Ovis aries: one gene and its partners. The protein of the gene in region 2 purifies or fractionates together with the protein of the main gene of each other region. This does not show direct contact. Links are inferred from orthologs where the notes say so. Each region holds a gene or a part of one and is shown on either strand. Other genes may lie near its edges.

Region 1 (4,292 bases), on a different chromosome or scaffold from region 2:
CCCTCAAAGAATATTAGTGGAATGCTTGCTGAACACCAGCCTCCCTGCTTAGACTAAAGGTGTGCCAGGATTTTGCATTTCCCAGATTTTGCAGGCCCACCTGGGCACTCAGCCTCTCACACAATGACTACCACAAGCCCCCCACCCCCTGTAAATGCCTTCCCTGCTTGTCCATTTTCCTGATGCCTAAAATCTGCTCATTCCTTGGAGTTCCTTTCTCCAGGACACATCTGCTGTCCTGGGTTCAGTTGCACCCTTTCAAGATGCCCAAATTGTGGGGGGGCAGTTCTTGAGGCACTAGCCTACTGTGTTCCCCCCTTTGTTTGGCAAAGTAATAAAACTACTCTTTCCTTCTCTTCCATTAAAAAAAAAATCCCCAAATTGTTTAATCTTCAATCTGGGGTCTTTGCTGATTTCTGGGCCCACCTACTCCAACTCTGACCTCCAAGAACTCCAAACCATGCCTCTCTGGGCACCCAGAGGACACTGCTCAGACCATTTCAAATCTCCTTATTAAGATGATGATTCAGTGACCTTCCCCATACACACACACCAGGGAAGTTCCTCTTCCTGACTTGAATTCTGTCCTTGGGGCAGAGGATGTCCTCATCACATGGGTAGGAAACCACCCAGTCACTTGACTGCACCCTTTTTTTCCCTGGGCAGAGCCATTAACTACCAAGTCCTACCTGAGTAATGTCTTTGTCATCTATGCAAGCTTAACTCCCCATCTTGGCTTCTAGAAAGTATATCTCCTACAACCAAGCCCAGATCATGTCTGGGGTCTCAGCAACTTCTCACTGAATGGAGGAGAAGAAGGCAAGGTGTTATAACAGATTGGAAGTCAGGAAACCCGGGTTCTTGACCTTGGGGTAAATCCTTTTTTATCTCTGAGCCTCAGTTTCCTCATTTGGAAAATCATCAGGTTGGATTTAATGATCTCTAAGAGCCCTGCCTTCTTACATCTGCCATCTAATGATCTATTGAACACTTGCTGAAATGTCCTACTTCTGGGAATAATGAACCCACCTGGGTTTTTCTCATTCTTGTGTTGACGGAGTTATAATTCTCATCAGCTTCCTCCTTCTGGGGCTCTATGGCTGTGGAAAGACACAGAAGTATTGGTAGAGGAGGGGGTTTGACCTCTGGCTTCTGAAATTCATTTGGGGACTGGGACCCAGCCATGCAGCCATACAATAGAGAGAGATACAATATCTCCACAGAGCTTTTTTTTTGAAATAAAATTCATCATAAATGACTACTCTTGAGCCTCTGACAGGCAAAAGTATATTTTTCTTTGCAATAAATACATCAGAGAATTCCCACATGTTTGGAGAAGCTTCCTAACAAAACCCACATCTTCCCACCCAAAGAATACACACTGGGCAGCAAGAATTGTAGGAGTACAGATGATCCTTGCACAACTGTGGGTCCACTTATACCTGAATTTTTAGAAAATAAATGCATACTACAGTACTACACAATCCATGACTGCATGAATCCACCCTTGCAGAACCTGGGATGTGGACGGCAGACTATACAGTTATATGCAGATAACGACCTGAAGGTGGAGGTAGCAACGCTAACCTCTGCCTTGGACAAAGATCAAATGGACATGGTTTCATTATAAATAAGGGAACTTGAGAGGCAGGCATATGCTGTGGAAAGAACTTTGGACCGAAAGCCAGGAGATGGAGATTCTAGACGTTGGCCTGCTGTGTGACCTGGATATATATCACTGGCCTCTCTGGACCACACACTGCCCAGAAATACCAGGAGTTGGGCAGGATCAGAGGAAAGTATCTGGCTAAAGTCCTAGGAGCTCACCCTTCAGCTGCGCGCGGATGTCCCTCCCTAGCTGTTTGATCTCGTCACGCAGGTTCTGCAGGTCCTGCTTCATGCCTAAACAAGAGAAAGCCATGATGCCCAAATAGCAACCTCTACCTCAACAAATCTCCCTGGCCACCACCTGTGTGGAACTACAACCCCCACAAGCCTCCAGCTGAGCATGCGTTCTGCACCCGGGGTTTCACTCACTCTCCTCGGGAAGGGGCGTGGCCAGGATGGTGACCTGCTGCTTCTCCAACTCTCGGACTTTATTCTCTAGCTTGACGATAGTCTGCCGAATTGTCCGAACCTGGGGACGATGACCGAGAGGGCTGAGGGAGATGTGGGCGCTGCTCCAGGCTGCTCTGCTCCTCGGGCCCTCCAGGCCCCTCGTGAATCCAGGCCGAGACTCCAGCCTCTTACCTTCTGGAAGAACTCATCGTCCGGGCTCCCCAGCCGTGCAGTACCCGGGTGTACCACCAGCGCGACTCGCTCCTTGTCTTCATCGTCCGAGCTGTCATCCCCCTGCCAGGGCCGGGGTCACTGGCATCACTTCCTTGCTACTGCTCTCCCCCAGTAGAACTCACGGGCTTCCGGGACTTTCCTTCCTAGCCCACAGTCATCCCTCCCGGCCCCGAGGACCAGGAGTCCTGCATTCCAGTAGACCCCATCCCGTCCACCCGTCCCCAACCCTGCTGCGCCAAATTCTCACCTGCCTCAGCTCGTGGGTCCTGTCCCGCATGGCGGCCCGAGATCCCTCTCGCCGGCGCCGGAGCCCGGCGGGCCTCAAGATTCTAAGTTTGGAACTCCCGTACCCAACTCACACTCTGACACTCCCCTCCGCCCTCACCCTGCAGGCCCCAAACCCTCCCCCAAGAGTCGCTAGAGGCTCTGTCCCTGGCACCATTCACAGTTTCAAAGGGAAGGAGCCGACCTCGGGGACCCCCAAGATTCCACAGGTTGGAATTCCCTTTTCTTTCCCCCCGCCCTCTCCTGTAGCCTCAGCCCCGCCCCCTCTGGAAAGACTGGAGCATGCGCACCGGATCGCGTCCCTTCCCCACCCCAGGGAAAGGCCGAGGTCGGAAGCTTCAGCGCCCCGAACGGAAGCGAAATTGCCAGGACGTGAGAACCCGCCCCCTTTGCCGGAACTATCGCATCTTCCAGCGGAAATCTAGTTGCCAAAAGGGGTGGGAATGCGTCATTGGTACGTGATCTGTGAGGCCCTCTCAATTCGCATCACCCCATAGTGCAAACCCCCCCGCGCGCGTCATGTGACCGGCCTGGTCCCAACCTCTCAGACCACGGAACGTGACGCTTCGACTGTCACATGTCTCTGCCCTGTCAACTCCATCTCTGGAACACCCATCTCCCCACGACGTCCTCGGCACCCCGCGCGCGAGTTACCTCTCTTCAGAACCCCCGCGAGGCGGGGAGGGGGCGCTGACTACCCCCAGAGACAGTGGGTGGTAGGACCCAGGCTGAATCCGGCTTCCTTTCTTTTGGGTCCGCGAGTGTGGGCAGACTGAGGACTTAGAATTTGGAGCTGTCAACATCATGAGACCTTGAAATTCAGAAAAGAATAAAATACAGCGTCAGAGACTTGCGAGATTTTGTAGGCAGAGCATCTGGGGGTGGGAAGTGACCTCACCCGAGGCGGAACTCTCTTCTCCCGCATACTCCTGGCACAGTTTCTGACAGGTGGGCGGCTGGCTGGCGCCCGGCTTGAACACTGCAGTCCCGCTGCACTCACCACCTTTGAGCAGGGCATTTCAGGGCAGCTCGGGCTTAGAAAAAAGTCTGTTACATTGAGCAGCATGTCACTTAGACAACCCCCTCCCCAGACCCCCACCTTGCACTGGGGGTCTACCCTCTGGAACCCACAAAAATATTACATATTATCGTGGCCTGTGAGTTACTAAAGTGAGGGCATGATTGTGGACAGAGGAGCCTGGAGGGTTACAGTCCATGGGGTCACAAAAGAGTCGGACACGACTAAGTGACTAACACACACAAATTGTAGCCCACCAGGCTCCTCTGCCCATACAATTTTCCAGGCAAGAATACCAGAGCGGGTTGCCATTTCCTCCTCCAGGGGATCTTCCCAACCCAAGGATCGAACCAGCATCTCTTGTGTCTTCTTCACTGGCAGACAGATTCTTTACCACTGAACCAACTAGGAACCCCAGCACATGTTAGGCCCTCAGTAAATATTTGTTGATAGAGTCTTAGCCTCTTATATAACTGAAGATGAAGCTTATGATTCCCTGGTCTTCTCTTTTATGCTTCAGGCTTTTGGTGACACTTCCCTAACCCTAACCCTGTAGGCATTTATTCATTCAGTGGATATTTATTGTATGGGCCAGACACTGTTTTAGGGCCAGAGATATAACAGGGCAGACAAGAATGGCTTGCCCTTTTGGAACCCACCTTCTATAGAAGGATGCCCCAAAGTCACTCAGTGAGTC
Region 2 (3,560 bases):
TCCCTGAGAGCCGCCCCTAGTGCCAAACCTGGCCCCTCCCGGCCTCAGCAGCCAGGGCAGAGAAGCAGGCTGGCTGACGCTGAGACAAACCAAGTCGCCCTCTGTGCCCCACGACGGGAATGTCACATGCAACCACTGCCGCCTGCCTACTAGACACCTCAGGCATCCTCCGTGCTTCTGGAGGCCAGGCACGAGTCACACCCCAACCTGGGCCCTAGGGCCCCCCACACACGCTGCAGAGCCTGCTGTTAGCTGAAAAGCCTCAGCTCAAAAGCTGGGAAAGGATGCCACATGCTAGTACCTGCTGGGGCCTGTCCACCAGAAGCACTGGGGCTTGTTTAAACAGCAAATCTGCCCTATGCACTTGCTGAAAGCCCGGGCTCAGCTTCCACCCCAGGAACCGGTCCTTCCAGTCACTCGGGTGCGGTGGCCCAACGTCTGTCACGGGTGCCTGGGCAGCATTTCCAGGTCGACCAGTTCCCCAGAAAGGCGGCAGACTGGGGCAGGGGCGGGACCCTCTGAGAGGGATGCACAGACTTTCTGGGGTGATTCAAGCTGAAAACCAACCTACGGTCATCACCGTGTGACCTGAACCCTGGCTCATCGCCACATCACCACGTGGCCTGCTGCAGCTCAATGCTAACCAGCCAGGTGTGCTGAGCTTTGGGCAGAGAAAGCAGGACACACCTGGTCATGAGGTTTCCCCTCGGTTCAAGCCGGGCTGAGCGCACCATGTGACCACCGAGGCCAACATCTGAGAGACACCCGGCTACCGAGGAGTGGCCCAGCAAGACTGGGGACAGAGAACAGGTACTTGGCCCTCACAGACACCAAACCCTCGACTGGGAACCAAAACGTCGCGGTGGCGATGACGAATTCGCCACCAATGTCCCCCGAGCTGGCATGCGAACTGGGGCTCACAGATCCTTGGAGAAACCCCGGGCACTGGTGCAAACTGCCCTCTCTTGGGAAGGACAAGCCTTTATTCCAAGATGATGCATCTCCCTATTTTTTTTTTTTAATATAACATTCGCCTAGTTCCCATTCTCTTGTGAGTGGACAGTGACAATAGATGGTCATTTAAAAAAAAAAAAAAGCCTTTTGCTTGTTAAAATTAAAAGTTAGCAACCCATGTCTGGCCCCAAAATTAAAAACAAAAAACTAAGATTCCAGCCCCCCAGATCCAACAGTCTGGTACCCGCTGGGCCGTGCATCTACTTTAAATGAGCCCAGCAGGGGCAAACATGGTTTCCTCACAGTGAGTCAGCCCCAAACTGGGCTTCGGTCCCCAACACGCTCTCATCTGAAGGAACTTACTCTCTGGCAACCGCATCTCCGCTTGGTTCTCTCCGATCCCCCCACCATGGGGGTAAAGGAAGCCAGGTCAGAATAATTTCCGCTCCTTTTTTGGCAGAGACTCCTACCTGGCTGGTCTCAGAACCCCCTCCCGCCCCCTCCGCGTGTTAATTCTGACAGCAGAACAGATTTTCCTCTCTCCTGGGCAAGCGGTGGGCCTGAGATCTAACTCCCACTCCCACATGCTCCCGGGCTCCGGGAGGGGCGCCACCAGCTGCAGGCAGAGAGCGGGAGGGGGAGGCGGAGGCTGGGAGCCAGAGAGAGGCCGACGGACGCCAGGCGGGAGGCAGCCAGCGCGAGTTACAGTGCGAGTGCCGCCCGGCGTGGTGCAGCGGAAACCTGAGGCCTTCTCTGGAGGGGCTCAGCTGGTGCTCGGGGTCCACAGGGGCCCTCACCTTGGGGGTCGGCCTTCTTGAACGCGTTGCCGGCGTCCACGAAGCAGGTGGCCGCGTCGTGCTTGCTCTGCAGTTGCAGGTGCAGCTGGGCCGCCTGGCAGAAGGCGCTTCCGGCAGCTGGAACAGAAGAGGGTGGGCCCTGCCTCAGAGCGGGGCTCCAGGCTCTGGAAGCCACTCAGATGACGTCTGCGGAGGGGGCTGAGCTCTCGTGAGCCCGAGAGAGGAGACTGACCTGGGGGAAGCGAGGCGCAGGCCTGGACCTCAGGCCACCTGATCCCAGCGGTGCCCCCCACCTCCACCCGGAAGCTGTCCCCCAGCCCCGGGAGCTTGGAACCAGCATTCCAGACTGCATCATGGGCTGGGGCCAGGTGGGGGTGCTGGGGAAGAGAGGGGCAATCAAGACCCAGCTGCACCACACCCCCACCACCTCCCCTTTCCAAGTCTGACTTCACCTCCCATCACGGCTCCCAGCCCTTCTGGTCTAACTCCCTAGCTCCTCTGTCCACATTCCAGTCTTCCCTGGGGAGAACTCACAGAGTCCCGGCCCCCAGGAGGTTCACATCTAGAAAGGGAAAGGAGATGTGGACGCCGTGAGCTTGAGTGTGTACATGGGTTCTCAGCTCCTCAGTCTGACTCTTTGCCACCCCATGGACGGTCGCCCACTGGGTTTCTCTGTCCATGGGATTCTCCAGGCAAGAATGCTGGAGTGGGTTGCCACGTCCTTCTCCAGGAGGATCTTCCCGACCTAGAGATCGAACCCATGTGTCCTGCGTCTCCTGCACTGGCAGGTGGATTCTTAACCCCCGAGCCGGCTGGGAAGCCCCTGTGAGCTTGAGTGCGTGGGGACAATGCCCACGGGTGGAGGGCAGCTGCGGCAACCACACCTGAAGCCCGGGCTGCCCTGTACTCAGCCACCCTGTCACCTTCCACAGGTCTGTTCCCGCGTCTCCATCTCCTAATGTGACTCGAGGGAGGCAGAGGGAGCCCTCCTCTTCCAGGGGTGGGACCTGTGCTAACTGGGAGCTCCAATGGCCACGTCCAGCTCCGTCCTGAAGCCCCTGCCCTTCCTCTTCCTCCAGCTGAGCCCGAATCATGGAATTCCTGACTTGGAGGAGGACAAGAGGGCCCGGCCCTATACTCTACCTTTAGAGCAGGAAACTAAACTCAGCCACCCAGGTTTTCACTCTCTGATTTCTTTCCTATTTTTAAGTGCTCCAAACTTGAGTGCAGAATTTCCAGGAAGGTAGTATCATTAGGGGGAAGAAATGGCTTAAGATTTTTGTTCGACTATTTGGGGGAGGGAGAGAGGTGACAAATTTTAGAAGTAAAGCAACATCCACGTGATTGAAAAAGAAATCTTTTAACGGTATTTTGTTTTTGGGGTGAGCATAAAAATACACACAGAATCTGGCTCCAGGCGCAGTGTATGCTCTGAAAGCTCAGGAGAAACTCTTCTGATTTTCAGAAAACCAAAAATACTCTCAGAGGAGGAGAGCCCATTTTGCCCACTGCCTCCACACCCGCCTCTGTAGCCCCGTCCCAGGTTTCCTTTGTAGTCTGAAGTCAGAAGTTCCTCCCTGGGTTTCAGCACTGTCTTTGCTTGATTTTCTTGATCCAATCTTGCAGTTTCTTTTTAAATTGGAGTATAATTGATTTACGATGCTGTGATGTTATGTTTGTTTCAGGTATACAACAAAGTGGATCAGTGATACATATTACACATACATATTATTTTTTCAGGCGCTCAGTTGCGTCCGACTCTTTGCCACCCCGTGGACTTCAGCACGCAAAGCTTCCCTGTCCTTCACT
Region 3 (4,137 bases), on a different chromosome or scaffold from region 2:
ACTTAAAGAGACTTTTCTTCTCTTAGCCTCAGCGCTTCCTTATCTATAAATGTAGATAATAAAAGTACCCATCCTAGTAGTTGATATAAGGGCTTCCCTGGTGGCTCAGCAATATAGAATCTGCCTGCCAATGCAGGGGACATGGATTCGATCCCTGGGTCAGGGAGACTCTCTGGAGGAGGAAATGGCAATCCACTGCAGTACTCTTGCTGGGGAAATCCCATGGACAGAGGAACCTGGCAGGCTACAGTCCATGGGGTCACAAAGAATCAGACACGACTTAGCAACTAAACAACAATAGCTTGTATGAAGACTAAATGAAATCATGCATTAAACAGACTTAGTGGAATGGTTGGTATATAGCAGGCACTCTATGGGCTTCCCAGGTGGTGCTTAGTGCTAAGGAACCCACCCACCAATGCAGGAGACATAAGAGACACAAGTTCAATCCCTAGGTCAGAAAGATTTCCCTGGAATAGGGCATAGCAATCCACTCTAGTATTCTTGCCTAGAGAATCCCATGGACAGAGGAGAGTGAAAGGCTACAGTCCATAGGGTCACAAAGAGTTGGACACAACTGAAGCTACTCAGCATGCATGCATAGGCACTCTCTCTAAATATACAGTGCTCTATTTTAATAGTAAAAAATAAGTCAAAGATTTATATTTTTGCAGATGTTAAAAGTTTAGAAAGGACGTTATCATTCAAAGTCAAAACTGCTAAAGGAAATCACTACAGAATTATAATCATAAAAATATTTTTGTGTAAAACATCTTTCCTTTTCAATTAAACAAAGGAACCCATATTGGTAGACTGATACCTAATTTGGAATTAAGAAACACACAGTATAACCAACTAATTTTTTCAATAAAGTGTCAAGGCAAAGAATAAGGGCCTACTGATATTCAGACTTTCAGATCTACTTTATATTCTTTGCCCACACTGGAATTCAAAGCAATAGTTGGAAAACTGACCAGATTTTGGTTCTCTTGCAAAAACTATTTCTTAGTCAAACTACATATCCTTCAAGGAAAATTTCCTTACACCATCTCCTTTGTTTCAAATCATGTTTTGCATTCATTTTAATAATTTCACTCCATCTGCATAGTCCAAGAAAATGTTTAATGCTGGAGAAAAGAAAAATACTTCACAATTCAAAGTTCAGGGCATGCTATATTTTTCAGATTTTTTATCAGCTTAGACTTTGTTTTGTGTAGTGAATAGAAAATATTTCACTCAGCATAACCTACTAAGCAACACAACAACTTCACAATCTGTATCGTTGTTCTCATAAAAGTTAAAGTAAATGTATTTGCAAATCAAACCTAAAAGGGCATATAACCAAATAGAAGCTTTCTCAATTAGGAGACACTAATACTGGCTTGGATGTCATTCTTTTGCGGAAGATTTTCCTGATGTCCGAAAATCAATTTAGATACCTTTTCCATGTTCAATCACAGAAACTTCTTCCTCTTCTACAGCAATTATCTACATTACAGTTATTTGTTAGTGATCTGACTTCTCCACTAAACTGTAAGCTCCAAGAAAGTAGGGACTATGTTCCCTAAGCCCCTGAATGAACACCATGCTTGGCACACCTGATGTGCTTAATGAGAGTTGGTTTTTTTCATGAATATATGAATGGAAGGTTAAAAAATGCACAAAATATTTTTTTTCTAGCACTCAACTTTTCTAGGCCTTGAAAGTTTTTTAAATTACTTGTATAAGAAAGTAAAAGAAAGTTGATCACTTTAAACAAATTTAAATAAATTATATAAATTTCATTCTCAGCCTCCTTTCTTCCAGAATTCCCCAACCTTACTCCAGGAACTGGACTCACACCAGAAATTTGCCTTGTGATTTTAAGGCACAAAGCCTCTTCCTGTGAAGCTATCTAGGGCTTTTTTCTGGGACTTTTTTTTGTTTGTTTTAATCAATGCAACATATTTTTGAGCACCTATTATACTAAAACTGCTATTGTAAAAGCTATGGGAAATACAAAAATGACTAAGACTTGTCATCTGCCTGCTAGGAAATTTAATTTATTGAAAGACAAAGGCAAAAGTACAAGGCATTATAGAAATATAACACAGGGGTCATAACTGCAACAGTAAGAATTTAGTAAGGCTCACTGAAGGAGGTGGGAATTGGACATAACTGGGAAAGAAAGCACTATACTGAACTTCAAACAGGTGCATATATGTGGCAATATTACCTCATCTGCTTTCAATAGATGTCAGCAAGCTGGGTCAAGGATCAGGTGCTACAGAAAGAAGTTAAAGAACTAGGAGCTGATTTTCCCCAGGACCTGTCAGCCTTATTAACAGCAAAAAAATTAGAAATCCTGGATTTTAGCAGAGTCTATAAAGAATTACAGAACACTGGATGATCACAATTAGCCAAACCTATCCCTTCTCCGGAGTGTTTTTCTAATAAGAAATAGGTAACATAAAAATCTACCCCCGCCTTCAGCAAAGGTTACTTTTCTCCAGGTAGTCTTCTCCCCTGTCAAAAGAGAAAACGCACTTCAGAGAAGTCAGAAACGCCTGGGAAGACTCAGGGGTCTCCCGCGTCCTAACAAGGAATCCGGGGCGGACAGCATAGCGCTCTGGCACGAACTTGGGGTCCTAAGGATCTACCAGCTCACCTGTTCGTCCTCCTGCATCGAGGCGGCCAACGGGAGCCCGTCCGCCACTCGGGCGATCATCGTGAGCAACACCATCTTTACAGGCTACGGAGACCCAGCACTGGCCCAGACGGCCGTAGATGTGTCTCGACTTGCTCCGCCGGGACAACAGTTAAACCTCTACCTCAGCTGCCGAAGACCCAGCTACTCGCGTCTCCGCTTCCCGCTGAGGTGGCCGGAAACAAGCTCCAGCGCTCTCCACTACCGGTCCCCAGAATTGGCTTCCCATCGGGAACCACAACTACCGGAACACTAGTTCCGGGATCTCTCCTTACACCTGCAGAAACTCCCAAGGCCCAGGCCACTTTTCTGGATTTCCAGCTTTGAATAAGCCTTGACCCGTGAGAGGGCGTGGCATACAAACTGAAATAGAATTTTCTAGTTTCTGATACTTTAAGTTGGGGGAGAGGGCTGGGAAGGACGGCAGGAGTTATTGGGTACTTAGATGAAGGGTATATGAAAAACCTGACAATCAGATGATATATTTTCATATTTATTTTTTTGTTTTATATGTTGTATATCCAGCACAAATTATTTTCTGTATTTTTATATTTTTAGGCAGAGTTCTTTGTGTGTGTGTGTGTGTGTGTGTATTGTATGGGTTTGTTTTTTTTGTTTTTGTTTTTGTTTTTTTGCTTGTGTATGCTGTATGCCCAGGTCCTTAAACAGATTCTGGTAAAAAATATTAATTGCATATGTGAGTAAGTGATCATATTACAGGATCTCAGAAATTACCTAGATCAGTCACCCTGCTGAAAGCTGCGATCTATCATTATAGGTAGCAGGACAGTCTTGCAAAACTTCCAGTAACTCTTCATTTACTCCCCATTGGAGAAACCTGTAGACAACTCCACCTGAATAAATGTTACCATCGCTTTTTCCTTTGGTGCCCCCATCTCTAATATGAGAATATTATCTGCCTCTCAGGATATTTGTGATTATATACTGAGAAAGTGTAGGTCCCCACTTTGTAGTTAAAGAAAAAACTTCAGAGAGTAATTTTTCCACAATGACATAGCTAGGAGTAATGGGACTAGGATTTGAGCTGTTGAACTCCAAAACCTATCCTCCTAATCCTGATATGATTCCGTCTTAACATTTAACCATAGGTTAAAGAGCTCACGTTTTGTTACCTTTTCTACAACTCTACAGCTACTAGGAGAAAACTTATTTCTTGAGAGGATTTTGGGAGGAAGACCTAATGATTGACTCCACACAAAAATGGACAGGCATATAGACAAGACAAACTGATGGTGCTATTTAGCACAGTGAGAAAGTGAAATGGAAGGCAATCCTTGGGTATATGGGAGCCTAGGTTGGCAAAATCATAATATCTTACATTTAAAATAGCTCAAAGATGTAACCTGACCTAACTTCCCTTCCTCCCACTCAACAAGGATGTGTCTTCTACCATGGTGTCAAATGGTCATTGTCATTCAGCCTCTGCTGGA

Evidence for each region. Proteins that work in one complex are often made in the same cells at the same time.
Region 1: the proteins of NAPA (region 2) and STX4 purify together in Homo sapiens (affinity purification with mass spectrometry; 4 studies listed by BioGRID and IntAct, with this or other methods). This does not show direct contact. The link is inferred for Ovis aries from reciprocal best matches to the Homo sapiens genes NAPA and STX4.
Region 3: the proteins of NAPA (region 2) and SEC22B purify together in Homo sapiens (affinity purification with mass spectrometry; 3 studies listed by BioGRID and IntAct, counting the BioPlex papers as one, with this or other methods). This does not show direct contact. The link is inferred for Ovis aries from reciprocal best matches to the Homo sapiens genes NAPA and SEC22B.

Annotation. Positions count from the first base shown.
Region 1 is NC_056077.1:27,673,230-27,677,521, reverse strand, and holds the start of STX4 (syntaxin-4), read right to left. Parts: upstream 2,855-4,292; 5' UTR 2,570-2,854; coding exon 2,540-2,569; intron 2,353-2,539; coding exon 2,251-2,352; intron 2,138-2,250; coding exon 2,038-2,137; intron 1,903-2,037; coding exon 1,828-1,902; intron 1,326-1,827; exon of another isoform or gene 1,101-1,325; coding exon 1,030-1,100; exon of another isoform or gene 1-1,029. UniProt on the Homo sapiens protein: Plasma membrane t-SNARE that mediates docking of transport vesicles. Necessary for the translocation of SLC2A4 from intracellular vesicles to the plasma membrane.
Region 2 is NC_056067.1:54,230,269-54,233,828, forward strand, and holds part of NAPA (alpha-soluble NSF attachment protein), read right to left. Parts: intron 1,869-3,560; coding exon 1,752-1,868; intron 1-1,751. UniProt on the Homo sapiens protein: Required for vesicular transport between the endoplasmic reticulum and the Golgi apparatus. Together with GNA12 promotes CDH5 localization to plasma membrane.
Region 3 is NC_056054.1:97,585,394-97,589,530, forward strand, and holds the start of SEC22B (vesicle-trafficking protein SEC22b), read right to left. Parts: upstream 2,855-4,137; 5' UTR 2,723-2,854; coding exon 2,648-2,722; intron 1-2,647. UniProt on the Homo sapiens protein: SNARE involved in targeting and fusion of ER-derived transport vesicles with the Golgi complex as well as Golgi-derived retrograde transport vesicles with the ER.